Linked DNA regions of Coturnix japonica. The protein of the gene in region 1 interacts with the protein of each later gene in a pairwise test. Links are inferred from orthologs where the notes say so. Each region holds a gene or a part of one and is shown on either strand. Other genes may lie near its edges.

Region 1 (7,474 bases):
CTCCCAAACATCACAAAGACCACAAAGCTGACTACAAATGAGCAGACATTCTAGGAAGCCATCAGTAGTTAAGCAGTGATCTCAGCCTTTGACAGCTCTGCCTCCAAGCACCTTTCTGGCATTTCTGCATACACAGCAGCATTATCACCTTCTCATGCAGTTCTCCTTCCACAGGCAAAGCTCAGGTTTGGATCCCCTGCAGGCCCTGTCAGCTTCTTTTTGTTTCTGTCACTATCTCCAATTGCCATGCAAATGCCCTAACACTAACCCACCCTTCAAGCTTGGGTAGGAGGCACTGGGAGGGCTGGAACACACCCTCCGGCATGTTTCCTTGCAGGAACACACTTTGGCTTGCCAGATGCTAATGAGCTTTAATACCTCCTTGGCTTTTCAAAGTCTTGTAGTTAAAATCAAAGTCATCCTGGAGATTCTCCACCACTTTCATCTTCTGCTCCAGATCCTGCAATGCAAGAGATGGGATTTGTTCAAAGTACAACATCCCCACAGCACTCCTAGAAGTACCAGGGGAAGAAGGTGCCCAGGCAGCACTTACCTGAACTCTCTTCCTTACATCCTGCAGATGCTGCTCCAGCATCTGTTGCTTTTCTGTCACTACAGCTGCTGTTGGATGTGTCGCCTGTCCCCCTTGCTGTAGAAGGGACAAAGGAGGGCATCAGAACTGGGCTGTAACTCAGGAAGTTCTGCATAAAGTCAAACCCTTTACTACACAAACAAACAAACTTAGCGCAGAGCACTGATGCACCCCAGAGAGCTGGGGGTCATCTGCCCTTCACTGCAGTTTGAGCACCCCTCTGAACTACCATTGCTGAAAGAAACATGTAAGAAGCTTCAGACCAGAGCTTCCTGATGGCACCAAGCTCTGCAGAGCTGCTGGGTGGGCAGAGGGACACCTGAGTCACCTACCTGGGCTGCAGTGGCAGCTGTCTGGAGGAGCCGTGACTCTTCCCACAGGCAGCGAGCCACGATGCGGGCTATTTCCATCGGCTTCTCCAAATATCTGCTCTATAAAACATCGAAGGCCTCAGGGTTAGCCTTCAAACTATAACTGCTGGGATCTCTGTGTGCTGTAGGGCTGGATCTGTGAGCTGTGACAAGGAGGCCACTGCACTTCAGTAACAGAATGTTGCCTCCCACCTCACCTGCAGGAACTGCTTGATGCGCCGCAGGTTGTGCTGGTACAGGACATTGGATTCCTGCAGGAAGCGGCTGTACTGCTGGTCAATCTCCCCCAGCAGGTTGTGGAACACCAGCGTGGCGTGTGACTCCTTGTTGGCAGCATATGCCCTGCATGAGGAGACAGCAGAGCCCTTACACCCAGCCCAGGGGAGGCACAGCACAGTGCTGCAGGAAGGGCAGCTCTGTGAACACCTGCTGCCCCACACACAGCCCAGCATCCCAGTGACTGCCTAACCTACATCAGGATGCAGCCACAGTTGGCCTTGCTCCCATGAGAGCAGGGAGACAGAGGTGTTTCAGATGCTGGAAGACAGCAGGCACAAGCACCTCAATTCCAACCTTGTTTAGAACAGAGCTTGACGTAAACCCTGACACCTCTGCTGTGGATTTCCCCTTTCTCCCAGTCTGAGGTCTGACACCAAACACACAGACTCCCACTCCATTTCACACTGCATGCAACGCAAGGAGGAAGAATAGACCCAGCACCCAGAGAAGCTGGCAGAGTCCCTCCAGAGCCGCCTGGCACCTGCCGCTGTCCCCAGCTGGGGGTCCCAAGTGCAGTCATGTGCCAGAGCTGGGCAGTGCCTTACCAGTCCTGGCTCTCAATCCACGGGGCCAGGAACTGCCGCAGCTCCATGGGGAAGCTGTCGCTGTAAAGCTGGTGGAGCTGCTCCAGGTACCTCGTGTCGAGCTGCTGCAGCTGGTTCCACTGCGCCATCCTGGCCGGCTCCGGAACCCTGCAGGGACAGGCAGGTCAGCACAGCGCCCCTGAGCCCACAGGCTGCCCCCCTGCACAGCACACGGCTTGGCTCAGGCTGACCCTGGGAAGGGAAACAGGGAAGGGCTACAAGGCTGCAGTGCGCTGGGCTGTGCCCACGGGGCTGAGCTCTGCACTGATCCAGCAGCGAGAGGGCTGCCTGCCCACCTGCCCTCACCACCTGATGCTCAGCACGCAGCCAACAGCCAGCTCCAGTTCTCCTGCATTAACAATCCAGAGGCAGGAAGCTCTGCCCTGCCATGAGCCCCGGGACAACGCTGACCTCCAGCTCCCAGCCGAGCTACAGTGAGGAAACCCTCCCACAACAAGCAGCTGTCAGCTCCCAGCTCAGCACTGCTGCCATCACTGTCACCTGTGCTGAGAGGAGGTGGAACCACAGACCCAAAGCACACTGCCACTGAGGGACTAATGGGCACGAGTCGGTGTGGGCAGCAGATTGGTCAGCATGCAACTGCTCAGGGCTCCAGGCTGGAAATGTACCCAAAACCAGGGCAAGATCCACTGCGCTGCCCCAGCTGGAGCTGAGGAACACCCGGATCCTGACTCATCCTCCCTTCAAAGTTAATCCAAAACATCTGAGAGCAGAGCAGTGTGTCTGGCTGCCCAGCTCCAGCCTCTCCCATTCCTAAGCAGGACCTCAGCCATAAGAACCCCCAGAATGGTCACAGACACAGACAGGCACAAAGCCTCGCTCGGTTTCCTTGGAAAAAAAACCTTTCCCAAGCACCTGCCTTCGGATAAACTTCCTCCTAGAGAGGCACCATTTCCCAGAGCTTTCCTACCTTCGTGCCCGGGGGAAGAGTGAAAGGCTCGGGCATGCAGGTCACAGCAGCGGGGCCGGGGCTTTGATCTGCTGCCAGCCCCTTCCGCAGCCCCGCAGTCAGCCCTGCGCCTGCTCCCGAGGGCAGGGAAGGAGCTGCAGCGCTTACAGTAAGTGCGGAAGGCGGAGACTGCCAGGAAGCAACAGAAACGAGGAAGGAGCAATTTTCAAGTGAGCGGCTCGCACATCAATAGGAGTCAGAGTCAGCCGAAGGAGCGACAGCAAGCTGTGCAGGAAGCACAGACACAGCAGCACCACTGAGCCTCACCACGGGCTCACTTCCCCCAGAAAGTGGTTTGATTTTTGCAGGCAACCCCAGCAAGTGACACGTCAGCAGGAGGCACAGGGCTGGCACATGGCTGACACCAGAGCTGTCCCAGAGGCACTGGAGATGGGCACTGACTGGGGGGGAGATGTGGGGGCCACAGCTCTGTGCCCCGGGTCCCCCCCAGAGCAGCTGGTGTTTGTTGTATGCGACCCCTCCTCTATTTCTGTGGATAGTTCTTAGAGGAGAAAAAGGGGAATCAGCCCCACCATGAGACGTGGGGAGATGACACACATTGATTGGCACCCGACAAGGAGTTAAGCTGCTTTTTAGAGCTTTGTGGCATTGCGCAGCCCAGCTGACAGCAGCATCCAGAGGACATTAACCTTGAACCACAGCCTGGTGCAATCTCTAGAGAAGATCATGTGAGCAAAGCCTGGATTTAACAGAGCAATAGGTGAAAGGGAGGAGGAGAAACAGGAGCCTGTAAGGAGACAGACATTCTGTCAGACTGGAGGGAAGACTCGGCTCTGTTTGACACGTGTGTGACCCCAGGACTTCTCTTTTCACACCACGACAGGCCGGGCCCTTTGCTGTACCCCATGGCTGCTCACCAGGCACAGCACAGGGAGCGCTCCCAGGTGCTCACACTGCTTTTAGCTGAGTGCTATAGAGGCTGCCAGCACAGTGTGAAACATGATGGGGGGGAAATGAAGCAAGAAACACACAGCCAAGAGCTGAGAATCCACAAACCACCGACATCCGCAGCTCCCGCCCTGCACTGCCCTGATCCAAGCAGGTCTCCCATAAGCAAAGCTCTGCTCTGGGTCTCACTGGGCCGTGTTTGAACCCAAACCCGTACAGCACTGAAGGAGAAGTCCCTGCACACCACCCTGTGTGCAGCCCAGGGAGCAGCAGCTGCCCTGCAAAGTGCTCAGCCACGTTCATCCCTGAAAAACAGAACTTGCACAAAGCAAAACAACCTGCTCAGCCTCATCCCACTGCAGGCATCTCCTCCCAGCGCAGGCACACAAAGTGATGAAGGAAGTGGCTGCAGAACATACGCACAGTACAATAAGAGGCACCACAAAGGACTCAGTGCTGTGGGAGCGAAGCAGCCCGTGGGGATGGTTGCTGCCTTGAGCTGCGCTCACTGCTTGCTGGTCCATGGGTCCTTTCAGCCCTTTTCTCCAGGGATATCAGCACAGACACAAACACCACATTGAGTTTTTACGCCCCTCAGCTTAATGGGCTCCTGACCTACAAACTCCCCCCACGCCACCACAGGAAAAGGGCTGTGAACAGCATCCACACAATGTGCTGCGCTATGGGCTCTCGCCAAGTGGGACAGCTCTGCTGCAGCGGCTGATGGCGGCTGCCAACCCATCAGTCACAGGAGGATGAGGAAAGGGAGGGAACGTCTGGGAGCAGCAAGGAGACAGGAAGAGGATTCTCCTCCTTCACTGCAGCTCACCCCTCCCAGTGGTGCCCAATGCTCTGTGACCCCCTGACCACCTGCTCTATGAAACCTTCCACAGCGCCAGCCCAAAACCCAACACAGATCCCTCTGCAGCCCATCCTGCTGTGGGGAAGCTCCCGGGGCAGGTTTAAAAGCCTGAGGGCTGAGCCCTAACAATGCTGATGGGTTTGCTGCCTCCGTGGTTCATCTCTCACTGCTGGAGAAGAGCCAAAGAGCAACTGATGTGAGCGGGGCTGAGCACAGCATGACGCAAGCGCTGAGGTAAACAAGCTGTGCAGAGCTCAGAGCAGAGCGGCTAAAAGTAGCCCCAGAGTTAAAGTTCATCTTTCTTTAGCTTCCCTGCAAGGGCAGAGCACGACAGCCTGAGCTCAGCAGTGGCACCACAGCTCCACGTACCCCAACAGCCACAATCGAGCAGTGCTGCCATTGAGGGAAACAGCCCCACGATGGGCTCTGTGTGCCTGGATGTACCTGAGAGCATCCCCCTGTGACACAACTTACAGGGGCTTCACCAACAGGAAGAGGGAGCAGAGGGAGAACATTGAGACACCCTGAGAGCGCTGCAGCCACCTGGACGGGGCTCAGTGCCCACGGTGCAGCTCCGCTGCGATAACAGCCACCCCCACAGCACAGCCCAGCCCCGGCAGCGACCTGCCCCGCTGTGCTCTGGCTCTCAAAGTGCACAGCACGGCACAGCACAGCCCGGCACAGCACGGCACAGCACGGCACAGCACGGCACAGCACGGCACGGCACAGCACGGCACAGCACAGCACGGCACAGCACGGCACAGCACGGCCCGGCACAGCGCGGCGCTGCCACACACCGGACCGCAGGGCTCAGCTCCATGTTCCCAGCCCAGGCGTTGTACCGTGCACCCGGCGCAGTGTCCGCCATGTCGGTCCCGCCGCTCTCAGCTCCCCGCGCTCGGGGCTCAGTGCCGGGCTCTGTCGGTGCAGCAGCTTCGGGGCCTCCACGATCGTCCCGTGCTGAGGCCCGTCGCACCCGAGGCCCGGCCCCGCTCCCCCCGCTCCCTCCCAGTCCCGTCCCGTTCCCTCTCGCTCCGTTCCCCGGTTTCCCATAACTCATCTCACTCTCACCGTCGGTTCCGGCCGTGCCGGCGGTTCCCGGTGCCGCTGACGGTCGCGCTCCGGTCGGTTCCCGGTTCCCGACTGCGGCTCCCGCAGCCCCGGCCCCGCCCCCCTTCACGTCACGCGGGGCGCAGCCAATGGCGGCGCGGCGTTCCGTCCGCCTCGGGAGGGACGGGCCGCGACAGCCAATCAGCGCGGCCGTCCCGAGGTGACGTCACGGATCGCGACGGCGCCGCTTGGGGGCGCTGCCCCGCGCCGGCTGTTCCCGGATGGCGCCGCCTCCCGCCGCGGGGCGGTGCTGGGCAGGGGGCGGCGCGGGGGGAGGTGGCAACTGCCGGGAACAGCCGTGCGGGAAACCCGCTGAGTTCCGGGCAGCGCCGTGACGTCACCGCGCGACCCGCCACCGCCGCCGCCTCTTAAAGGGGCCGCACCCCCCGATGTTCCCGGAGCGCAGCAGCGGCCCCGCGCGGAGCGATGCGGGTCAGCGCCCGGCACCGCCCGGTCCGCGCTGCGGGGACACCCCCCCCCCTCCCAGCAATGGGATCCCGCAGCTCCGGGCCGGGCACGGCCACCCCCCGGTACGGACTGTCCGACCCCAGCCCACCCCGTGCTGGATTCAGGCCGTTTCCCCGTCCCGTTGCTCAGCAGGCGCCATGCTGCTCCGTTACAAAACAGCCTTTATTAGTTGTGCTGCTCACCAGGATGCAGTCATACAAAACAATCTGAGCTTTGTCCAACGCGCTGCGACCGACGGGCGGCAGCTCCGCCGCACCGAGCGGGACACGGCGCCGCCAACGGGGACACGCAGCCACGGGCACAGGGCAGCGCCGCGGGGCGTCAGACAACGAGAGGGAGAACGGTCAGAGAGGAAAAGCGAGTTTATATACGTGGGTACGGCGGCAGCGGACACGGCTGCGCGGGGCGGAGCGGGGCCAGAAGGAAACGGCACGTGGGGCAGCGCCGGGCGGACGGGACGGGAACATCCCACCGGCCCCGCGCACCCACATCCCGCACGTGCAGCCGTGGGGCCGCAGCCTCCTGCCCGCTCCTGCCCCGCTGCCGGCGGCGGCTGCGTGTGAGAGCGGTGCGGGCTGAGCCGGGCGGTGCCGCGTGTGAAACTACAGCAACAGAGCGAAGGCACCGAGAGGGGAAATGGGGAGAATGGGGGGGGGGAAGTGCAGGACGTGGGCACGAGCCGGAGCCGCGCCAGGACCCCTGGAGGAAGGAGACGCTCCGAAACGCTCCGGATGTGCTGGATGTCGGGGCTGCTCGCTGCCAGCCGGGCGCTCCCACAGCACCAGCACATCCCAGGCTCCTCTGTAAGGCAGCTCGGCTGGCGTGGGCTGCTCTGGAACAGACGCCCGCCCCCTCCATGGCCGTGTGCACTCGCTGCCCACCCGTGGTGGCACGTGTGGGTCGTGGGGGGCAGCGTCCAGCTCCGCACGTTCCCTGCCCAGCCCGAATTCAGGCAGCTGGGATTTAACCCGAGCTGCTCCATGATGGCAGAGTGTGGGACGAGGCAGCAGGCGCAGGTTGTGGGGGCTCCGCAGTCCCAGCAGCAGGTTGGGTTTGTGGCACAGCTCTCCTGGCTCCGCCACAATGACCTGGGAGGAAAGAATGGAGCAGACCGTCTGCGTGCCACGTGGCTGCTCAGCTTCACCATTACTCTGCCCATTGAATGTGCTCCATTCTTCCCTCCCGCACGCTGGGGTGCGTTGCAGACCCTGTGCTCCTCGGGCGGCAGCTTGGATCCCACACATCCTGCTGTCTGCAGGGACACTCAGCCTGGCGCAGGGAATCGGGGCCTTGAGGGCTGGGCAGGCGTTCTTGACACCAGGTCTGTGC
Region 2 (7,461 bases), on another chromosome or scaffold:
CTGCTATGTTTTCATCCCCGTCCCTTGGGGTAGCCATGCAGCTCACACATGATTCAACAAGTTAAACAAGGGAGAGCCCCATAAAATCCTAACAAGGAGTTTGCCTTGGATTTTGGGTAGTGATGTGTGGAACCAAGGGTTATACTCAATGATCCTTGTGAGTCCATTCCAACTTGGGGAATCCTTATGGCTCCTATGAAAATGGAGGCTGAAGGGTTGTTGATCACACATCAGCATCTTCATCAAGCAGCACTATGTTGCATTAAATTAGCTTTTAATCTGCCAGGGAAACGGAAGCTGGAAGGTTCAGATGATAAACTAGGCTAAATTAGTCATTTGGAGTGGTAGGTCCTTGAGATCTTTCTTACAGAGCCATTGAGGTGGTGGAGTCACTGCCCCTGGGGTTATTCAAGAACCATGGAGGTGAGGGACAGACATGGTAAGTGGGCAACTTACCCTGGAGGCAACAGATGAAGGGCTGACCTGCAGGTAACAGCCAGTATCACATCCAGGTTATTTTAGGGAGCAATAGATTTACCTCTTCTGCTTATTTAAATTTCTCTCTCTGAGCTGCTTTAAATGTGTCCATGACTGGAGAGGTCTGCACAGCGTCCTGGCTGTGGCTGCTGGGTTTCCCCATTGCCAGAATTGGAAATGTGTCTCAAATCAGAAGCAGGTTTCTGTCTGGAGCTGCTGTGCTGCAGCCCTGTTTCCCAAGATGACTTGGCAGCCTTATTTCTAAACCTTTGCTGCACCTCATGGCAGCTTCTCCTTCCTACCTCTGTGGTGGATGGCAAACCACCTTCTAAAAAAGCAACTTCCTTTTTTGTAGGAATAGGAAGTGAAGCTTGCTTAGCAAAGAGCAGTCAGGTACCTCAGATGAGCTCTCTGCCAAAGAGTAAAGCTCTTCCCAAAAGCTCAAAGTGCTCCTGCTAGCCCTGATGCTGACATCCAGCCCCAACCTAGTCCCCTCTGCCTCTATGTCCTCTCCTCTGCCCTTAGCTGGAGGAGAGTGGGGACAGCAGAATGCAAGCTGGTGAGGGAGAAGTCTGCCAGATCTGCAAGGGCTTCCTCATTTCTGCATCTCCTCAGTATGCAAACAGCCAGCCTGGCTCTGCACACACCTGGCTGGGGGCAGCTGGGTGGGTGTCTGCCCTGGTTGTCTGCAGAGAGAACCCGCGCTGACCTTGGCCTCTGCCAGCTATCTGTTAATGGCCCCAGAGAAGATAAAGTACTCACAGATTCCTACTTAAGGCTCAGCCTAAGGTCCTGCAGACTTGCAGCCCTCCATTGGGTGTTCTCCTTTTGCCAGGAGCACAGATCACTTGCAGAGGCAATGCCCATGAGCAGCACTGGGGCAATGGGCACCTGCATCCTGGACCAACTTCCCCATGTGGTCATATGATTCCATGCTTCTACATGCACAGCACTGAGCCCTCAGCCAGCCCTGTCCTGTCCCTGGATCTTACAGCCATTCAGGGTCCTCTGCTTTGATCTCAAAACTGCCCCGTGAAGCCTTTCCTCTGCCAACAACATCACCAGAATGAGGGTGACTTTGGGGCTGTGCACTGCACTGAGCGGATGTCAGCTTACGTTTGTCTTCCCTGTCAGAGCGGCTGAACTACAAAGCATGAGGTCTCTCCAACCTCAAGAACACTGAGACCCAGCATCCCTTCCCTCCTGCTGACCCAAATGCTACAAAACCACAGCATGCAACAACCCACTGAGGTCACTCAGTGTTTTTTTTCTGGGGTGGGGGGGGGACTTTGTCCTTGCAACAGCTTAAAGACAACAAACGGTGGCCCAATAAGTCCGCTCCACAAACACATTGAAAATACCCCAGAGAAAGAATCCCTCTAGGCACCCTATGGGAAGCCTCAGGAGTCAGTGGGAACAAATTTTGTTCCTTATACAACAGTTGTCTCCTGAGAAACAGACAAATTTCAGCCTTCCTATTGAGCGTGCTGAGGCAGAATGAGAAAGTCACTTCTTCAGAGTCACCCACAAGTCCCTGTCCAGGTCTACGTCATTAGACTGTGTTGCCCCCTCAATGCTATGGTTGAGTAGGTTCATAGAGGGTTGGGGCTCCCTGGAACAAAAGGCATTTCATCTGAAAAAGGTCTTTTATATTTTTATTATTTTTTTCGTTCTGTTTTTAATCACTGCAAAGTCCGTTTGTTCAGCTGTTTCCTAAAGTTTGGTGGTTTGCATAGTGGAAACACAACCCATTCACCATCATCGTAGCTTGTTTTAATGACAGCTGTTAATAGCCTGCGGGTTTTGCTGGGTTTTGTGCCTGGGTTCTCTCTGAGTTTCTCGCCTTCCTCAGTGCTATTTTGTCCAGATTGTCTGGGAAGTGCAACTTGCCCCCCCTCCCGGATGGATCATGCCAGTATTTAAAATAGAGCAAGGAATCCTCTGAGGGAAGAAAGGAGTCAGTTCTGACACGGAGACGTGATTAAAAAAAGAAAGTCCATTAAACGCGATCACAAAATCAGGCTGCTCCTTGCATACCTGGGGGTGCAACATTCAGAGCTCTCAGCCCTATGGATGGTGGGGACGTGGTGTGAGCCAGGGATTTCTAGCAGGGAAGCTTTCTGAAGGCTCTCAGCCCCATGGAGCATCGGTCATGGGTCGGACCAGTGCTTCGTCCATCGGGTCGGGTCTCCAGGAGCAGCTTCATAGGAAACAGGCAAGTAGGGCTCATCTCATCCCTCTGAACGTTTCCCTGAGGTTAGTAGAGGCTTTCTTCTACCTTCTTCCTCTTTCCTATTCCTTTTTCATTTGATATCTCCTTGCCATGTTTCCTTCCCCCTCGATCCATAGGACAGAGAGAGAAGATGGGAGCAGCACCAAAGGTTGCTATAATCCAGCCCCAAGGGGTGGTTTTCAGGGAGGCATTTCCCTTGGTTTGCAGCTAAAAGAGAGAAATGAGTGCCAGGTGTGTGTACCTTGGTCCTCCCATCCCCCTGCTTCCCCATCCCCCAGGGCCTGCGGTGGAAGAGATCGAAGTGTAAATGTGGGGGAGGCTGGCTGGAGCTGGACACTGCTGTGATCAGCAGGGGAAGGGTTTTGAGCTCAGGAGCTGTTTCTGACTTGGCTTTCCAAGCAATCAGAGGTGTTCAGAAGAAGGGCTGGAGATGTAGTTTCCCATAGCCCATGAACAAGCTTTGGATGGAAATGCCAACAGAAATTGTCATGCAGCAATGCAGCTTTGTGATAACATCCCTCATACATGGTAAGCCCCAGAGACATTCCTGGCACCCTAAGAGTTCTGTGTGCTTCTCCTGGCCCTGTCCTCCTTCCTTTCTCCGACACACCTCCATCTCCATGCTGCAGGATGTCAGCTCCTGTAGATCCATCCCCACCTGGCCATCACAACATGGGGGCTGAGCTCATGATGAAAGCATCTTGAAAGGGCGCTCACGGAATCATGAAGGTTGGAAAAGACCACTGAGATCATGAAGCATGATGCTGACCTACCACCACCATGCCCATTGACCATGTTTTTCAGTGCCACATCCCCATGGTTATGGAGCAGCTCCAGGGATGGTGACCCCACCACCTCCCTGGGCAGCTGTGCCACTGCATCACCACTATTTCAGGAATGTTTCCTAACATCCAACCTGAACTGTTTGAGATTTACCAATAGGAAACTTCCAGGCCTTCTGTGATTTTGTGTAGATGCAACACGTAACATAGGCATCTACTTCACTCTCCAACAAAGGCCATGATGCTCCCAGCTCTGTGCTCTCCAGCTCTACTTTCTACATTCCTTTTCTAACTCCTCTATGCACGCTCTGGTCTCTCCTAGTGAGTAGCAGCTTTTGGTCATAGGGGTGATCATGACTTTAGCTGGGGACGCAGCACTGTGTGCACCACCTTCTTTCTGAGGCAGACCTTCTGCGGGACTGAAGCTGTTTATAGCACAGCACAGTTCTTGTTGTTCAGTTTTGACTTCTAACCACCTCCTAGCAACAGACCCGCTAATCACACACACTTAAACATAGCATTAAAAACATATTTACCAAACCCCAGCAAAACTGGAAAGCAGTCACAGTAGTGATGGCTTTGATGGCTTCTTTGTTCCCATTTGTGTGGCTGATCTACTCAAGCTCTTCTGTAATTCTTTGGTGCTGTGTCTTGCAAAGCAATCCAAGGTTGCCTAGTTTGGAAATGTGATGAACTGTTTTGTTCAGAGAGAAGAAAGCTTCTGTAGTATTTAATGCATGTGGGACATGCGTAGATCTGGGGGGGGCAATTTCAACTGATCTTTTTTCTCCTCACTTATGCAAAACTGTGAATCTGGCATAACTAAATCACTGTATCTGAAGTGAGATGATTTCATTCATCCTTTCTGGTAGGAGAAAGAGAACTTCAGCACTGAAGACCCTTCATTTTTAGAATATGCTCTTATAGCTTTTTTGTTGTTTGTTTCTTTGTTTTTAATGCTATTATTTCCTTTTAAGTGCATTTTCTTAAGAAAGACTCTCTGATATTTTAAAACAAAGTGAAATATTTAATCTTGGTCACCTATGAAAACACTCTGTTGGACCCCCTCTGAAGTCTGAACGTAAAGGGGCTCATTTTGTGATCTCACCATTCTTAGGGGTTTTTGGAGCTGCCCCCAAAGTAAAACACTATTGGCTTGCTCAGGCCATAAGTTATTTTTCCATGGCACAGTTTCATGGGGGTGAGGCAAATAAAGAGCTGAGACTTCTGCTTTTCTGCAAGATTCGGTCTTGTTGTTTCCCCATGCACGCCCATGCAATCCCAAGGCTGTTCATCTGTATTATCCACATCCCCACTGCAGAAGACATTACTGCATTCACATCAGAAGCAACATTTGTTTGGGTAGCAGAAAGAAGCCAAGTGCAGGAGATGGCATGCCTATGATGCAGGATTGCTTATCATAATGAGGATAGGAAAATTAGGTCATGCTTGCCGCACCTGGCTTAGCACAGGTACCTCTGTCCTATTCTTATCTGCTACAACAGATACAGAGTGTGTGCATACAGCAGGTCCATTCTGTCACTATCTTGTTTTCTTGATACCGTAAGGCACTGAGAAGGCTGAGGATTGAGATAAGGCAGATCTCCAAAGCTTGTGATCAGCAAAGACTTGTGTTCACCTCTGCTGGACTCTTTAATGGGGCTTCAGGCACAGCTTTATGGTTTGTTCCAGTAGGACATGTTCTCCAAACCCTTTCCAAGATGGGCACTGATAGGGCCTTCAGTCACATCCTTGATTCTCCACCACAGATCTGTCACCCAGATGTCAATGGAAGCTTTGCTTGAGCTGAGCTCTGATGAGATCTTCAGAACTCCCCCTTGGACCATTGTTTCAGGAACATCTGTACCTGCATCCAGCTCTCTTGAGCCAAAATGTCCCCTCTAAAGACCATTAAAATTACCTTCTGTCTGATCCAAGCATCCAACATGTATGTGATGTGCATGTGTGTTGTGCATTTGTTCAGAGATGGATGCTGCACAGAGCTCACCGTCCCGTGTCTTTCAGTTTGCTCAGCAAGGGCTCACTTGACTCTCTCAAAATATACCAGCAACTGAGCTGGACATCTGTAACATTTTGCATTGCATCAAATACTTTTATTCGGTTTTGAATTCTGGTTGCTTTAAAAAGATGTTCTTAAAATAAATAATGGTCTCGATTTTGAACTTGAGTAGACTTGAGGAAATGAGTGAAAAAAAGAGTGAACGCGAGAACGTTTTGGTTGAGTATTAGCAATGCGATGAATAATTTTGTTCTCTGTACTCAATGACTGTTAGAAAGAAGAAAGATTTCCTCTCATTCAGTTATTAAAAATCATAGAGTCACAAAATAGTTTGTGTCGGGAAGGACCTTTAATGTCATCCAGTTCCAACCCCATGCTGTAGGCAGGGACACCTCTCTCTAAACCAGGTTGCTCACAGCCCCATAGACAAACATTTTTAGATGGGTGAAGAGGAAGTTTTCATGTTTCTCTGACTTACTATTTTCTCTTCAGCACTCTTTTCCTCCAGGAAAAAACAAACCAACAAAACAACCAAACCAAACAAAACAACAACAAAAAAGAGCAAATAAAATGCCAGGGCAATTAATTACTTTTAGTTATTTTTCTCAATCTTTCTCTCTTTTTTTGTATGCAATGTTGATTTAAAAAGAAATTAACCATAAGCAGTAATGCTTTGAACAGTGTGTGTTCCCATCAGCCACCTTCTTTCGAGGGTCAAAAAGAAATTAAACAAATGAAAGCTTCACCAGCAGTGTGCTGGGAGATGACAAGCAGCGTTCTGTTTTGGCCACTGTTTGTTTGCGGCATTACTTGATGATACATCTAGGACCTTCAGATGTGAAGGATCGTCTCATTGGATACCAGAGGCCTTGGCAGTGTGAACGTTGGGTTTTGTAGGGGTTATGATTACCCAGAGCTGTGCAAATCTCTGTGTGCAGTGCAGGAAAAGACGTGGGTGGGAGCGGATGACCTTTACCGGAGATTTCTCACCAGTTCTATTTCCCGCCTGAGATGGGACAAGTTGTTTGCTTCTTGGTCTGGTTTTGCACAGACGTGTCCTTGACACTTGTATGTATGTGAGGAGAAAGCTCTGTGGTGGGACACTGTCCTGCCTGCAGCAGAGGGGTTGGAACTTGATGATCCTTGAGGTCCCTTTCAACCCAAGTCATTCAGTGACACCCAGATGTCCCAAGGATGCTCCACTGGACACAGAAACACTTTGTGGACACAGAGCTCAGAGCATGGTCCCTGCTCTCCTCAGTCCTTGTCAGTATAGATAGGATGGCTACAAAGCCCTTTGTCATCTGATGGCACTTGCTGTAGTTGACATCTCTCCATGCTTTCCCTTGACACTGCTCCACCAGTGCCATCCCTGGGAGTGACTCAAGACCCTAAAATGTGCATTCTCCATCCTGCATATTGTTCATTGATCCTCTCATGAAACAGTCCCAGTGACATGACTGATGGCTGAACTATAGTGGACTTCTGCTATTTCTCATATACCCCAACTCCATAGAAAGGATAGCAATTGCCAGGTCAGCATCTCCCATTTAGGGGCAAAGCATATCAAAGATCCTGTGGTGGGTATTGAGACAACGCTAACAAAGATCATAGATGTGTATCAAAGGCAAAGGCAGACCCTGAGGTGATTTTCTAAGACTGGTAACCTTGGTACTGGAACCTTGACTGTCATTCAGCCTTGACTTCAAATGACGCCCTTCCATTCCCTGGGCGAAAAGAGAACCTGAGTTACTCTCATTTATTATCCTGGTAAATAACACCATTCAGAATCAAAGACACAGGCAGAAAGTTATCTTCTAGCAGTTTGCAAGTGGAAGAGAAGGAAAAGCTCACTTAACAAACCATGCACCATTGCATGACAAGCAGATCTTCTGAGCAAAGCAAAGCCTGGTTGCAACCTGGAGGTAAATGAACTTGCTGCAGGAAAT
Region 3 (7,588 bases), on another chromosome or scaffold:
GTCTACTTCCTCTCTGTTAAGCAGGCTGAGATGGGGTGTAGACGAAAGGGGCACAATCTGCTTCCATACATTTTGGATCTGGCTTTTTGCACAAAAATTGCCCTACTTACTTTTGCTTCAACAGAAGCTCCCATTTGTATCAGAGTCTTAATGGTTTCCACCAGGCTCTTGTTTCTCAGCAGAAGTTCCTGAACCTCAGGGGAGTGAGGTGGCTGACAGTTCTGTAGTTCATGCAGCACAGCATTATGGGCCAGAACAGCGCAGTGCAGGGCTGTCAAACCTTAAGATGACAAATTCAACATTAACGAGTGAACATAATAAAGAATTCTTGACTGGCTGTTTGCTTCCACATTTCTAAGTAATAATGGCTACTACTCCTGAATAGATCAGGATCTGGGGCTGTTAGTCACTCTAAGTAACACATAAGAATCTCTGTTTAATATACTTCTTTAGAGAATGCGCTTCAGGAAGATCTATTGCATGGAAAATAGGTTCAGTTAAAACAGCTCTCTGGCACTAGAGATACTGCATTTTATATCCACCAATAAGCCACTGGCACTCACATTTTAAACAATAGCCTATTATCATCTATCCTTTCCATGCCAAACACGTCAATCATACATAAGAGAGAACAGGGAAAGATCTCAACAGGCAGAGGCTAGCCAAGCTTTTATCTGACGGATATGCCAACTGCAACGCAATTTCAATTCTAATTGTGAATTTGAACCTGGCAAAGATACAATCCATTTTATTGCTCTTCTCCCAGGATAACATTTACAACAGCAGCTATAAAACCCTGTATCACCCAGTAAGCCGTAGCTATAAACCCCAAACTACTCACCATCATAGTTTGTTGCCTCAAGGTCCACATATTGATTGCTTCCCATGGCTCCCTTTTGGATCGCCTACAAATGTGGGAACAGATATGCATTTAGGTCTACCCCAAACCACATACTGATTCCTCAAGCTTGTATACAGTCTTGCCTGCAACAAAGTTGCAGTCAGGAATAGTATTAAAGACTTATTTATTGTTTGCATATACTACACTACCTAATCACTCACTGGTGGGAATCTTACAGCAAGAGTCAACCTCACTTAAAACCGTTAACGTAGAGTCTAAGACATATCAAAATGCAGCGCAGAAGAAAGATAAGAAGAGGCACAGTATTTTTGTAGCCCTCCCAAACTGCTAATCCCAAGTTAAGAACTATGGATAGGGCAGAGCTATGTCTGCCTCATTCTCACCTGAAGGACCTGGGCATGCCCCTTCTCAGCACAAACATGCAACGGTGTTCTACCCCAGCAGTCTGTGGTGTTGACTTGAGCCCCCAGGCTAACCAAATCCTGCACAATGAGATGCTGGTTGGCAGCCACAGCAACCTGGAAAGCGCTCTGCAAACATTGAGAAGAAAATTTCAACTATTAGTCATCTGATCTCTAACAGGAAAGAGCAACTAAAACAAATAAAAAAGCCTAACTACCCGGTGTTATTTAAGCAGTGATTATGAATACCAGGAAGCCAGGACAAAAGTCGAGTGTATAGTGTTACCAGCTCAAGGTGATCCCAAGAAGTATTAATAGCTCAAGGTTAATATTAGTATGCAGACTAAATCTCGGTGTTAATATTAAATAAGTGTTTCACCACATTTTCCTCGGGGTCCAGACATCAGAGCACTCAGGTGCACAAAGCGGGTGGGAAGAGTTTGAAAACCTCACCTGGCCATTGTGCTCTTTAATATCCAACATATGCAGAGCAGCCATTTTCCTTGCAAGGACGTAGGAGAGAGCTCGTCGGCCCTGGGCAACAGCAATGTGAAGGAAGCTGCGGAAAGAGGGAAAACAATTAGATAACCACACTGACTAGGGCTCAAGTCATCAAGCGATTCCAAACGTACATTGTGGGAAGGGCTTTACACTGTCAGCTTCAGACTTCATCTGAGTGACTAAGATGGATACTCAGGCACCTTCCTCCCAAGGCAACTTAAAGCATCTAAAGTAGAATCTTTTTTCCTCTCAATTTACCAGATAATAATCTAATAAATACCTGAAATGAGATGATACAACTATCTTATCTACTTACTATGCTGCAACTGCGTGCATCACAGCCCATCAGCAAGACCACAACTGGTGAAACCACTGCACTCGTGACACAAGCAACAGTAACAAACAGCTTCCACTAAAACTCAGTGGTCCACCAAAACCTGAACAGAAGTGTTCTCCAACCTTTTACTTCAGAAACAGTGAGATAAGGGCTACTCACGTGTCTCCATCCGAGTCTTTCGCGAGGAACTGGTCTTGAGAGATGTTAGCCAATTTGTTTTCCTCCTGCTCCACTTGCCACTGGAAAAACGACTTGCCCAGCTGCGTTGTGTTTCTGGCAACACTTTGGGGTGGTAGAGAGACATTCAAAGTGGCCAAAGAGACACTGCGTTCAAGACCACCGCAGACATTACTGGGAGCCAGGCTGAAGTTCTGAGCATGAGGGCTGACGTTAGCCTGTGGGTGGGCGCTGGTCAAGGACTGGAGGGGAGCAGAGATGTTCTCTGAGCCTTCAGAGTCATTCAGGAGGGAGGAGAAACTTTGCGACGGGCAATATTGCAGTTCATGGCTCTCGTAGGCATGCTGGTGGTAGCCTGGAGACTGGTCACTGGCAGAAAACGGCCTGTACTCCAGAGATGCATCCGAAGTGTAGTTCTGTGACAAATCCTGGCTCTGCGAGGAAGGAAACTGGTAATGCTGAGGCGGATCGAGCATATTCTGAGAGGTGTGATCTTGGAATGCTTGGTACTTCTGGGGTGGGGAAAAAGCCTGCGTTCCAGGACTGTCGTGGTATTGCTCGCCAGGTGAGTTGTGGCTGGAGACACCATGCAACCAGCTAACCTGCACTGTATTCAGGGAAACAGGGCTGGACTCGTTCTTAATGTTTATGATGTTCTGAAGCAGATCAGAACTGCTGTCATGCTTTGGTTCATTTTTATGCGTTTCTTCCACGTTATCCATTGAGGTCGGGGTCTGGGGAGGTGTCTGTCAGAAGAAGAAGCAAAACAAGCCCCACAGAGTCAGAAGTCTTGTTTTAAGACATCATTTCTGGTTACAGAAAAACAGGCAGAGAAAAGAAGAGAATTCTACTTCAAGCTTACCAGGAGGTGTGGGTGAATATTAACTTGGCGTTTGAAAGGAGGTCCATCAGAAAGGAGCTCAGAAGCCTTTCTTTTGCCACCCTGGCCTAGAATGCTCTTCAACTCTGCTAAAATAAATAAATATCTCAATAAATAAACGCATTTAAAACCCTCTTAGAGACTGCTCTTACAATCTATTCTTAAAATACTATTGCAGGGTATTTAGAAACGTTCAGGTGTTTGTTTTTTCTTACCTGTGTAGGGTTCGTAGTTCACCAGTCCTCCTTGTGCCTTTTGAGGGGGGGGGGGGGGTGGAAAGAAAAACAACCAACAAAAACAGGTTATTTGATCGTTATCGTGCTATTCCAAAGAAAACAAAACAAACAAAAGCAGAGCTTTGCTTCTATAAGCACTGAATGTGTCTTAGAATAATCCTAGCACAGGGCAGTCAAACCCTAATTTAATTGTTTTCAATTGAGGTTAGGAAACATAAAGAGTTTTATGCAATTTAAATGAATACCAAGTGTGTTTTTTTTAATGAAGGCTTTTTTAATAAGCTATTTGTTACAACACCACAGAACTCATGAAAACGTAGAGGAAGACAACATTTCCCCAGTGAGGTCTCAAGATTTTGCTTCTCTCTTTAACGTAAATAAGGCTTCCCATTTTCTCTGTTTCTCTGTCTGAGGTGCCCCCCCACCCCGCAGGAGCTGTCGCACCCATCTCCTCCCAGCTCAGTCCTTCCACAGCATGCATTGAAAAGGAAGAATCATAACTCCATCCATAACAGATAACACCAGAAATGCGACAACTGCTTTATCGTGTGTCTTCCTTCACCAACCTCAGTTCTGGTTAAACCCCATCGTATCAGCCCTGACAAACGCTCATTACCTTGTTTTCGTCCGCAGCGGGGCCCGAGGACATCTGCTTACTGCTCCTGAAGTGCAGCAGGAGCTCCTTCACCGAGTTCTTCACGCGGACCCCCTGGAACGGCCCTCTGTGCTGTTTTCCTCCCCCCATGTGCTGCTCTGCTGTCGAGAGAGCACAAGGAAGACGGAGCTTAAGCCGCGGGGTCGGCATTCACAGAATCACAGAATGACCCGGGTTGGAAGGCACCTCAAGGATCATGTAGTTCCAACCCCCCTGCCTGGCAGGGCCACCAAACATACACCTTTACTAGATCAGGTTGCCCAGGGCCCCGTCCAACCTGGCCTTGAACACCTCCAAGGACGGGGCATCCACAACCTCCCTGGGCAGCCTGTTCCAGGACCTAACCACTCTCCTAGTGAAGAACTTCCCCCTAACATCCAACCTAAATCTTCCCTCTTTCAACTTAAAATCATTTCCCCGTATCCTGCTATTGTCAGCCCTTTCGAAGAGCGGCATTCACGAAAGCAGACGAGCCCGTGGGAAGCCACCCGAAGTCGCAGCCGAGAGTCTCCTCCAGCTTCACCGGCCCAGCGCCCGCAGACGAAAGGTCGGGAAAGAACCCGAGCGCGGAACCGCGGCCGCCTCCACGTCCCCTCCCCGCAGCCCCGGCCCCGCCGTACCTTGCAGCGCGGGGCGGGCGCCTCCCCGGCCGTCCCTCCGGCCGCCGCCGCGGCTGCTCACCGAGAGGTCCGAGTCGGAGCCCGGCGAGCCCGGGGCGGAGTGAGCCGGCGAGCAGCTGCCCTCGCTGGAGTGGGGCGAGGCGCCGTAGAAGTAGGCGAGGTTGATGGGGCTGCTGAGCGCCCCGCCGTCGCCGTCGGGCGCTGCGTCCCGGCTGCTGTCCACGATCATGGCGGTGCCGCGGGGCGGCGGGCGGCGGAGAACGGCGAGCGGCGGCGAGGAGACGGGAACGTCCAGGGCTGAGCGAGCGACGCGGACACGGGGTCTGACGGGCGGCGGCAACAGCGCCGAGCTTATAGCGGCTCCGCCCCGACGGCAGAGGCGGACCCGGGCACGGGCGGAGCCGCGCTTCCCGTAAGGGCGGCGGGGGGAGGCGGGACGCGGCCGCGCCCGGGACGGGGCTGGGGCACGCAGCCAGGCAGAGTCACCCCGCAGCGGCTGCCCAGCGGGGAGCAGGCACGAAAGCCGCCTTGTTTTCGTGCTGCGGTGGAGGCGGAGCGCAGCAGAGCGCGGAGGTGAAGCTGCGTGGTGCCTGTACTAAGCACAAGCGCAATCTCGCACTCGCTTTTAACATCAACCGCACCGGTCGGTTAACTGTATTCGCAGGGCACACCTGTCCCATTTCTGCCTCTCCAAAAGGTGTTTCTGCTGCCTCAGCTGTTCCCGTGCTCACCGTCGCACGAACCCGTGTTTGTCCGCAGCAGGTTGTGATTAGGATGTTGTTAGCGCTGCGGCTGCCCCGAAAATATGCAGTAAAACACCACTGTATTTCTGAAGTATATTATGCAAATTGGAGGTCTGTAATTTAGGTTATTATATGTGTTTTAATTGTGCTAAAAAAAAAAAAAAAAACATGGGGCAGGTGCAATGTGAAATTATATTAATCAGCTGTGAGGAGGCAGGAGGGAATTGCTTTGTATTATTCAAACGTTTTGTCCCCTGTTGAGTGAGGAAAGGGTTTCACTTGGCAGCATCTACAATGTCCCACTGCAAAAACTCTGCTCTTAAAGATCCCTGACCTCTAGGACACACTTTACACACTGATGGGAGGATCCATAATGAAGCTTTCTGTTAACAAATCTGACTGATCTATCCTAATTTGCACATCACTGCTCCGTAGATGGGAAGCAAATGGTTTTTAGTCTGGTCAGAAGGGTCTCCAGCTCATCTTTTAACTAACAATAATGTGAATCAGAGAAGTATACAGATGGAAAAAAAACACCTAGATTTAGTGTCACAGTGGTCTGTAATTCCCTTAGAAATGCCAAGGGTAAAAGTGGATGTCAAACCAGAAGTGGACTTCCCTCCTCTTAATTCTGCTGGGTCACGCAAGGTCCTTAAAACACATACAGGCAGAGTGAGCAACTCCCTTATCGCTGCTATTCCGTCATCATTTTGGATCTGACTTAATTGAGGATTAGCCTCTACACATAAACAAAAGTATCCTATGAAACAACGTAACAAGCTTTTTACCTTGATGCTGTGGAATTTCTGTTCTATTTCAAAGCTGCAAGTACTGAAGGCTGAATTATTGATCTGCTCCCACTGTACCACGCTAAATCCACTTCAGGTAACGCTCCGACACCTTAGATCTCACGCGTTTCATCAGCAATGTCTCATTTATCAGGTCTCCTGACATAAATCTCTGCTCCCCATCAAAGCAGATTAAGACAAGTCTAAATCCACCAAACTCTGTTAACAAAAGACTCTTTCAAAAATACACACACCCAATGTTGCACAAGATGAGCCGGCTCCCGACAACCTCTCAAAGCGCTCCATGCGAGTTACTGGCAAATTATTGCTACATTTACAAATTGTAATTATTAATACTGCAGACCTCGAACGTTTCTCTTGGCTCAACCACCACGTAACATCTCTGGTGACCAAAGCTCCAGCAGATGTCTTCAGCCTAAGGAAATTCCTGCCAGGCAGGGTAGCAACCAGAAGGGCTCATCACCTCTTCTCCTGCCAGGAGAGCTGGCAGAGCCTGTATGGACAGCCACGAGCTGGGAGGAGAAGGTCAGCAGGGAAGGAGCTATGAAGGTGCTCACCAGGCAGCTTCAGCCAGCTCTGGCTGAGCAGTAACCCTGCAAAACCCCTGGAGCTGCAGAGCCAAGAGGCCTGTGTATGGGGTGGATGGCTCAGCTCCATAAGCAAAGGCCTCCAGGTTCTCATCACCCCTCCTCTTGTTCACTGCGATGTATCAATAATGCCAACTAGTGGCCAATATTAGCAACATTTGTCCTGAAACCAGTCTTGAACGGGGCAGCAAATAGTGAGATGCGCTTATGTTCATATCTCAGATCGCTGCTACAATGAGACGCAATGTATCGGTTTTCAAATCAAAACCTCAGCTTCTGCCCTCGCTGCCAATTAAACATGCAGATTAATCACTGCTGCCTGTCTCCTTGTTGCTGTCTAATTCAGAGCCAGCACTGAGCCAAGACACTCCAGAAATGCTGTCCTGGGTTTTCCCATGGACAAGGCCTGTTCTTGACACGAGAAAACAGCTGACCCACTGTCCAAAGTTGAAGCAGATCAAGAAACCTCTTCAGTGCTTTTCTGTTAAAACACATTTTCACTGTTTTCAACACCCTTCCTAACCATAACCATGAGGTTTTCCCTCATTTCTGGGTCCTGGTGCTGAGAGTAACACTTTAACGATGATAACATAACCTCAAACCAAGAGAGATTTTTTTTCCTGTCCAGCTTTCAACCATCTCTGGTTTATCCTTCCTCACAAAATGCTTATAGCCTGAGCTGGAAGGGGACTTCCAGACCATATTGCAGCATGGCATTCAAGAAACCAGAAGGAAATTTTCTGTGAAACCACCTCAATACTGGATGGGGACAACTGTTGC
Region 4 (7,516 bases), on another chromosome or scaffold:
AAGTATTCACAGTGTCATAGAATTTTTGGAGTTGGAAGGCAATCCAGTCCAACTCCCTTGCAATGAACAGGAATACCTACAGCTTGGTAAGGGTGCTCAGAGCCCTGTCCAGACTTGAATGGATCCAGGGACAGGGTATCCAACACCTCTTTGAGCAAACTGTTCCAGAGCTTCACCACACTTACTGTAAAAAACTTCTTCCTTATATCCAGTCTAAATCTCTGCTCTGCTCTTCTAGTTTGAAACCATTTCCCCTTGTCCTATCACAACAGACTCTGCTGAAGAGTCTGACCACTTCTTTCTTGTAGCTCCTTTTAGAAAGAAGGGGATGGGACAGACTCTTTAGCAGGGTCAGTATTAGTTCTCCCATTTGGATTTGGCATATAGTGAAAAGCATCTGAGACTAGGTAAATAGAAACAAAAAACGACATTACATTTCTCCCAAGTCGTACATCCAGGAGCCGCTTTACAAGTCTGATTGCAACAGAGAAACCTCCCATTGGTGAAGAATCTTTTATGGTATTTGCTTAGTAAATTGGTGTTTTCTTTAATTTCTGGAAAACATAAAAGAAAAAAAAAACAAGAAAGAAAACATGAAAATCTGCAACAGTGAAATCTTCATTTTTTTTAATAGAAGCAGCTGCACTCAACTGTGGGACCTCAGTGCTTACTGACTCTTAGCTCTAGACACACATCCTCACATTTCATTCTCCATACTGTTTTGTCCTCTATGATATATTTCTACCTCTTCTTTTGACATTTGGGTGTCAAGAAAGACAGTGAAGTTCCATGAAATAATCAATAGACGAAGTAGGATCCAACAGCTGTGATTCCAAATCATGTATCTTACAAAAATCTCACAATCAATAATAAAAATAATGCAACATTTTTATATCAAAATATACTGAATATTTTCATAGAACTATCTATTTTAAGAAAACAACAATCTGTGAAACTCAGTATCAGATACTCAATACCTGAAACAGCAAATCCAATCTGTTTATCTGCTAAAATATATCTAACATTTAAGCATGCCAAAGGGAAATGCTAACAAAGAAACATTTAGTTTATAATCCAAGCATTGCTTTACTCTACAGAACTAGCCCTGGTGCAATTTTTGTGCTAGTGGTATATTAGTTCTGCAAGTCATAACAGCATTTTTTGCTTCAGAAGACAGCTAAAAGAAATGTAGGATGAGCTGAGTGAGACTTTAAAAACTGATTGCTTCTGGACAGGGTTCCAAATATCTTGAGCTGACCCATTTTTAACCCTAAATTTTTTGAACATGTAATAGAGGACAGAAAGTATCAGACACCTTTGGTGACCAGTACTTTAAGACACTTATTGAAAGGCATAATCATTGCAAACCTATCACACAATCTTACTCGTCACAAATTTTATTTCAAAAGATTTTACTTTGGTATATCAAAACCCTATTAACTTTCATTGGTTGGAACATATGATGAAAACATACTTGAAAATACCAGTGCATTTCAACTACCCAGATTTCAAGTAAGACTTGAACAGGTGAGAATGAGTTGCATAAAATGATAGAGCAGAGTACTTTCCTATCTCCCCTGAAGTTATTTGGTTATTTGCATACTCTGGCACACAAAGGGCTAGTGTTACCTCTATGCAAAGCTGCGAGCCATTTGTTCCGTCTCTCTTCATCAGGTGCATAGACATAGAGCAGGCCATCTTTGTACACAATCTGGAAGAGGTTGCCAGCATGGTGAGAATGTGAGACCCAATATCTTTATGCCAAAACTTGGCAACCAAAATTAGGCTTTGAAGATTCTCTGATATCAAACTTCTACAACTTACTAATGTTTCTTGGAGGTTGTATATGGTACTGTCATCACATAAGCCTTGCGTATACCACCTTAACCACTGTGGATCATATCCAAAAGAACCACTGAAGACAAAAGGGGCAGCATAGAATATTTATAGATAGACCTGTCTTCTATATACAAAAGACCTTACAATTCACAAAGAAACTCATTTTTCCACTTCAGTTTTTCCAGACTCCTCTTCCAGCTTCTGGCTGCTGTTAGACAGGCCAGTGCCTGTCTCCAAGTACTCAGAAACAAATACTGAGGCAGAATAAAAGCTTGGGGCAGTTTTGGATCAGGGAATTCTGATCTAAAGGTGATGCATTCATACTCTGTTGCCTTGGATATGTTAGTTCAGCTGTCTTTGAAAGCAAGTAACTAGTATCTACAACTTCCCACAGCAAGTAACCCAATAAATTAGCTATACAATATGAACAATCAGCTTATTTTTCTTGTGTTCAACATACTTTCTGCCAGCTTCATTTCATTCCTACCTAATAATTAATAGCATCTGCTTTGCTGTTTGGGTGATACTTAGTATAGGTTGTGTGTGTGTGAGTGTGTGTGTTAAGTCCAGGGCTTCCTTTCCCTTGTGTACATTGCTTTTCAGTCATCTGCAATGCATTTCAAGTATTGCTTTATTGCTTTGTTTGTACACTGAAGAGCACTTGTCATTAAATGTGTACTCTGTCTCGTAAACATACCAGGCTGATCAATCCATTTTCTGGCTCTTTAGTTAAATGGTGGAGCTCTGTGAGCTTTTCTCTTTAAGGCATGTTATCCAATCCACTAGACACTTTGAAGCCTCCCCTCTGACCTCCCATCAGTTTGCAACATCTTTCTTAAATTAGAGCCACCAGAACTAGACTCAGTATTCTCCTGCAGTTCACAGTACTGTCAAAACAGAGGCAGTACAGCCTGCTTGCTTTTATTCAATGTGTGCCTCTGTCAATGTCTAAAGATGCCATTAGCTCCTTTGCCCACAGCATCACACTGGAACTGGTGAAAATCAGCTATCAGAATCCTAACCCCCTTTTCAGAGATCCAGTTTCCCACAATGGAGACCCCATCCTGTGACTGCAGTGTGTATTCTTCCCACTTCTCTGAGTTGTGAATTCCTGAGATAAACACAATAATTCAAGACAAGTGCACCATTCCCTGCCATAAAAGTGGTGAGACAGAAGGGAAAGGAAGAAAGGAATGACGGTTAGGAGCAAGTAGGAAGTGAAAACCTGAGCATTTCTCAAGAGGATGCCTTTGGCCATGGCAATTTTTGCAGAGTCATTGATTAACACACTATCAAGCAGCCTGCTGCTGGTGGCTGTGCTGCTCCAGGTGGTACTCCAAGGGGAACTACGGCCTGTCTGTGCTCAGAAAACTGATACAGATGAAGGCTCTGGGGAGAACATGCTGGGGAAAGAGATAAAAAGCAACAAATCTGAAGTTACGGTTTCCTTATTTAATTCCTGAACAGTGCTTTGTGCAGCTATATTTTCTGGTACATGCACAAAGCATAGCTTTGAATTTACAGACTGAGGCCTAAGAATAGTAATCAGGCAGTCTTGGGTCAAAACCTCAACTTGACACTGGGCAAAAAGATGGGAGAGGCAATAGTGAGAGTTAAAATGAGATTTTTTAAGTCCCTAATTATGCCTTAAAAATTTCATAACCACATAAGTGTATTGATCTATGTATTAAATCAAATATGATAGAAATTTGAACAAAAGAGAAAAAATTCTAGACCCAAATTTTATCCCAACCAAGTAAAAACATTTTAACAAGGTCACGACCTGAGTAATAAGGACAGATTTTCTATTTTTAGGGAGTATGTATGGCAACCAGCCATAGCAGGTATTGGCAACTGGGGCAGGAGTGATCAGTGAAATCCTAGGATGATTTGAACATTTCACATGAAACGAACATGAAACAAATTTCATGACAAACCTGAAAAGGATATTGTCTTGCAGGAGGTGTTGATTCCTCAACATTCACCATCTCAACACATCGGATTTTCTCAATCTCGATAGACCCCTTCTTCCTTCCTCTTTTCTAAGAGAAAATAAAGCAGATTGTAACCTAATGTTAACTCAGTATGGAGCATTCTAGATTTACTGTTCTGTGTAATTTCATGTCTCCAGCTTCCATAGCTTCAAGGTTGTTAAATTTTAATAGTAACAAAAAACAATTTTGGTGCCCCAACCACATTTATATACCAATCAAAATTGCTTTTAAAGTCAATTACAAATTACAGGACACAGCCCTACATCTGAGAAAACATCTGCTGCAGTTGTAAGAGTACAGCTGAAGAAGGGAATTGAAAGGAGAAAGAAGAAGGAGGAATTAAGTGGAAGACACTTGAACTGCAAACCAGAAGCCTAGCTGTGGCATCTGTATTTTTTGCTAAGGTGCAGGAGCATATTCTCAGTGGGTTTCCATGCAGGATCCTAATGAAACATAACTCACCAGAGGGACACAAAAAGAGAGAAAACTTTGAAATAAGTTGCCAGGGTAATATATTTGCATTCCCAACAGGAGACTTTCTGAGTGAAATCTACCCTCATGTGATGCACAGTCAGTCTCTAGAAATCGATAGCTTAACCATCTGCTTTATACGAATGAGGGATAAGATTGGGAACTAATTATGCCTCACACAAGTAATTTCTGAAGCCACTTATTTACATCACTTCAGAGGGAGGCCTGAATGAGGAAAACATCCCTATTCATCCCTATTCAAGACAATATGTAAACATATGCCACAGTTAATTACTTGCTTAAGTTTTGTTGTCTTGCAAAGGATGCAAACAGATGCTCAATGGCAAACATAGCTCTAAGTTGTTCTGAATAGAGACGCTCTTAAGCATGCAGCCAAGTGATTTCTTGAACTGAAAAAAGAATTTGTAACCCTCTAATTTTCCAGTTTTACTCAAAACAGAGTACACCTGCTTTTCTAATGCATCGCTTCTAATCAAGTTTTGCACTAGAAGAATCAGGTGATGGTTGGAATATCTTTGAATAGTTTACTTAAGAAAATGAGTTTTTACCTCTTTGCTGTATTCGTAATAAGAAAGGCTGTTTTTTGTCAGAACAAACAACCTTTTCTTGTAATTAGCTGGTGACATTTTTCTCTTCTGTTGTGACTTCTTTAAAAGAACTTCTTCTAGAATGATCTTTTTCTCCATTTTATTTCCCTAAAAGAACATTGTAGGAATTTTTATTATCACTATTGATAAATATGACAGCACCAACTGTAGAAGAAGTAATAAAGAATATATTGAGTCATTGTCTTCTATATGTGTTTTGAAATCTATAGTAATACATGGTTACAATGCATGTATTTAACACTGCATAAACAAATGAGTTTGATTAACTTATTCTTCAGGGGAAAGAATCGCATTATAGGAAAATGAAGATAAATATATACTGTATTTCTAAATAAGGCACTTCTGTTACTTCACTGTCTGAGCATCTCTTCTTCTAAAGCCATGCACACTATCTGGCAAAGAGCACAGTCTATGCACAAATGTATTACATCTGCAGCATATTATGGAAGTCATTACAGCAGCAAAGAGAACAACAACAACAAAGAAAGCCCTTCTATGTACAGACTAGAAAAACAGACCTAGTGCTGACAAGTTTGTTCCCTGAGCTGGAAATTTTCCATTTCTTTCTTTCAACTGTAACAAATGCACATTTATGGAATGGTGAAAGGTAGAAAAGATCAGTAAGTAAAAATCTTCTTGCACCACATGTAAGTACATGCATAAATGTGTTTTTCTTAACCTTGATTATCATAAAGTAGCAAATACCAGGAAGGATGCAACCTTTCTATAAACTTAGTATGGTTTCAGGTTATCTTACCGAAGTATAAAGACCAAATATCCTTTGCCAAGTGTGCTCTGGAGCTCCAAAGAAAAGTGTTCTACTAGGCTGTGCACTTTATGTGCACCCTTGTTCACCACAGAGAACACAGCAGAAAGAGAATATTTGCATGATGCTTATCATACCCACATGATGTATCCACTGAAACCTAACTGAGCCCAGAAATCAGCAATTATCTACTAGGAACAGTCTGAAGAGGAAAAGTGGAGCTTTATGAGACATGCCTTCACACCTCTGGCTGCCTTCTGTGCGGGTGGACAGAATGCCTACAAACACCTACTATCAATTCCCTTTTGGATAGGCAATGCATATTAGTCCTCCTGGTGGGTCAGAATAAGATCAATTTGACATGTGACATCAGAAGGAGTGACAAGGCTGGGGTAGATTAAAATTGCATTGGAGAAGAGAATGAATTTTCCCCCTCACTTTAGGTATTTTTGCTGTGTTCAGGGGAGGTATTTGCTCTGACTGTAGAAGTCACTAGTGACAAGCTTCATACTAGTTCAGACAGAGTAGCTTAGGGAAGCTGTCTTTGCAATGAAAATATTAGGTTGGTTAGAAGGCATAAAAACCTTGTCATTTCTACAGTAAGAACTACTTTTCTTAACTTCATGCCATCTCATTTCCTTATACTGGGAAAGCATCTAATCTTGAGCTCCAACCCACTGCAGTTCATGGAGCTCACGAAGATATTTTAGGCCAGAAAAAAATAGGTGAGTTAGATGGAATTTTAGATCATTTATTTAAAAGCAGTATGCAATATGTGCAAGTCACTTCCTTACCAGAGTGCCTTGGCTGTACTTAAAAAAATATATATATATTTCCAGCTTCTGACTTTTCATTACAATCTGAGGTAGGAAACAATTTTAAACTCTAAAAGAAAGTCTTGACAGCTAAACGACTTCCTGTCTGTATCCACTGCGCGATGCCCCTCTCTTACTACTTGTGGAAGAGAAATCACAATAACTGAAACTGTGCCAAATAAAACATTCAATATATTTTTAAACAAGATTATTGCTGCAGGAATAAAACATGTTGCTCTGCCTTTTCCCTGCCCAAGCTGCCCCTCCTCTGTGAGAAGACTCTTGTGCTGAGCTACAACTTGCTTGCACCGAGCACTCTGTCATGCTTAAGGGGGAATGCTTTTGGGAAGAAAGACTACAGAGTGGTCTGTGCTCTGTGCAAGTGTCTGCCTGTTGAGAGAACTGTGAAGTGTGGTGTCCTCCCTCTTTCATGGACGGAGCTCATTTCTTTCAACTGTGAAATCTCACATCTCTGGAAGAAAAATCTGTATGGGATTAGACACAGACATTTGTTCTGTATGGTTTGAAGAGGTGTGAAGGATTTGTGGATATCTGATTATATTTTCATGCTTAAAATTTGCTGCTTTGTGTTAAAAAGAGTTGTGCTTGTGCATAGAATCATAGAATCATTAAAGCTGGAAAACACCACAAAGATCATCCAGTACAACCATCAGTCCATCACATCATGTCCACTAATCATGTTCCTCAGTGCCACATCCATGCTGGTCTTGAATACCTCCAGGGACAGTGACTCCACCACCTCTCTGGGCAGCCTGTCACCACTCTTGCTGAGCAGAATTTTTGTCTTAAATCCAATCTGAAACTTCCCTGGTGCAACTTGGGGTCATTGTCTCTCAATCTATTGCTGTTACCTGGGAGAAGAGTCTGACTCCTACCTCACCATAACCTCCTTTCAGGGAGCTGTAGGGAGCAACAAGGTCTCCCCTGAGCATCCTCTTCTCCAGACTGAACAATCCCAATTCCCTCAGCTGCTCCCCATAA

Evidence for each region. The genes of interacting proteins can lie anywhere in the genome.
Region 2: the proteins of STAT3 (region 1) and BLK interact in binary tests that used the Homo sapiens proteins (3 or more experiments, as listed by UniProt). The link is inferred for Coturnix japonica from reciprocal best matches to the Homo sapiens genes STAT3 and BLK.
Region 3: the proteins of STAT3 (region 1) and NFKBIZ interact in a two-hybrid assay, tested with the Homo sapiens proteins (2 studies listed by BioGRID and IntAct). The link is inferred for Coturnix japonica from reciprocal best matches to the Homo sapiens genes STAT3 and NFKBIZ.
Region 4: the proteins of STAT3 (region 1) and BMX interact in binary tests that used the Homo sapiens proteins (3 or more experiments, as listed by UniProt). The link is inferred for Coturnix japonica from reciprocal best matches to the Homo sapiens genes STAT3 and BMX.

The regions. Positions count from the first base shown.
Region 1 is NC_029542.1:4,516,796-4,524,269, forward strand, and holds the start of STAT3 (signal transducer and activator of transcription 3), read right to left. Parts: upstream 5,767-7,474; 5' UTR 5,639-5,766; intron 1,935-5,638; 5' UTR 1,916-1,934; coding exon 1,788-1,915; intron 1,306-1,787; coding exon 1,161-1,305; intron 1,024-1,160; coding exon 925-1,023; intron 650-924; coding exon 554-649; intron 461-553; coding exon 379-460; intron 1-378. UniProt on the Homo sapiens protein: Signal transducer and transcription activator that mediates cellular responses to interleukins, KITLG/SCF, LEP and other growth factors. Once activated, recruits coactivators, such as NCOA1 or MED1, to the promoter region of the target gene.
Region 2 is NC_029518.1:97,832,839-97,840,299, forward strand, and holds the start of BLK (tyrosine-protein kinase Blk), read left to right. Parts: upstream 1-2,450; 5' UTR 2,451-2,615; coding exon 2,616-2,692; intron 2,693-7,461. UniProt on the Homo sapiens protein: Non-receptor tyrosine kinase involved in B-lymphocyte development, differentiation and signaling. B-cell receptor (BCR) signaling requires a tight regulation of several protein tyrosine kinases and phosphatases, and associated coreceptors.
Region 3 is NC_029516.1:76,525,020-76,532,607, reverse strand, and holds the start of NFKBIZ (NF-kappa-B inhibitor zeta), read right to left. Parts: upstream 5,012-7,588; 5' UTR 4,899-5,011; coding exon 4,670-4,898; intron 4,151-4,669; coding exon 4,011-4,150; intron 3,411-4,010; coding exon 3,374-3,410; intron 3,248-3,373; coding exon 3,141-3,247; intron 3,025-3,140; coding exon 2,261-3,024; intron 1,823-2,260; coding exon 1,717-1,822; intron 1,393-1,716; coding exon 1,246-1,392; intron 906-1,245; coding exon 842-905; intron 281-841; coding exon 111-280; intron 1-110. UniProt on the Homo sapiens protein: Involved in regulation of NF-kappa-B transcription factor complexes. Inhibits NF-kappa-B activity without affecting its nuclear translocation upon stimulation.
Region 4 is NC_029516.1:109,893,372-109,900,887, forward strand, and holds the start of BMX (cytoplasmic tyrosine-protein kinase BMX), read right to left. Parts: upstream 5,012-7,516; coding exon 4,874-5,011; intron 3,882-4,873; coding exon 3,777-3,881; intron 1,712-3,776; coding exon 1,630-1,711; intron 555-1,629; coding exon 435-554; intron 1-434. UniProt on the Homo sapiens protein: Non-receptor tyrosine kinase that plays central but diverse modulatory roles in various signaling processes involved in the regulation of actin reorganization, cell migration, cell proliferation and survival, cell adhesion, and apoptosis.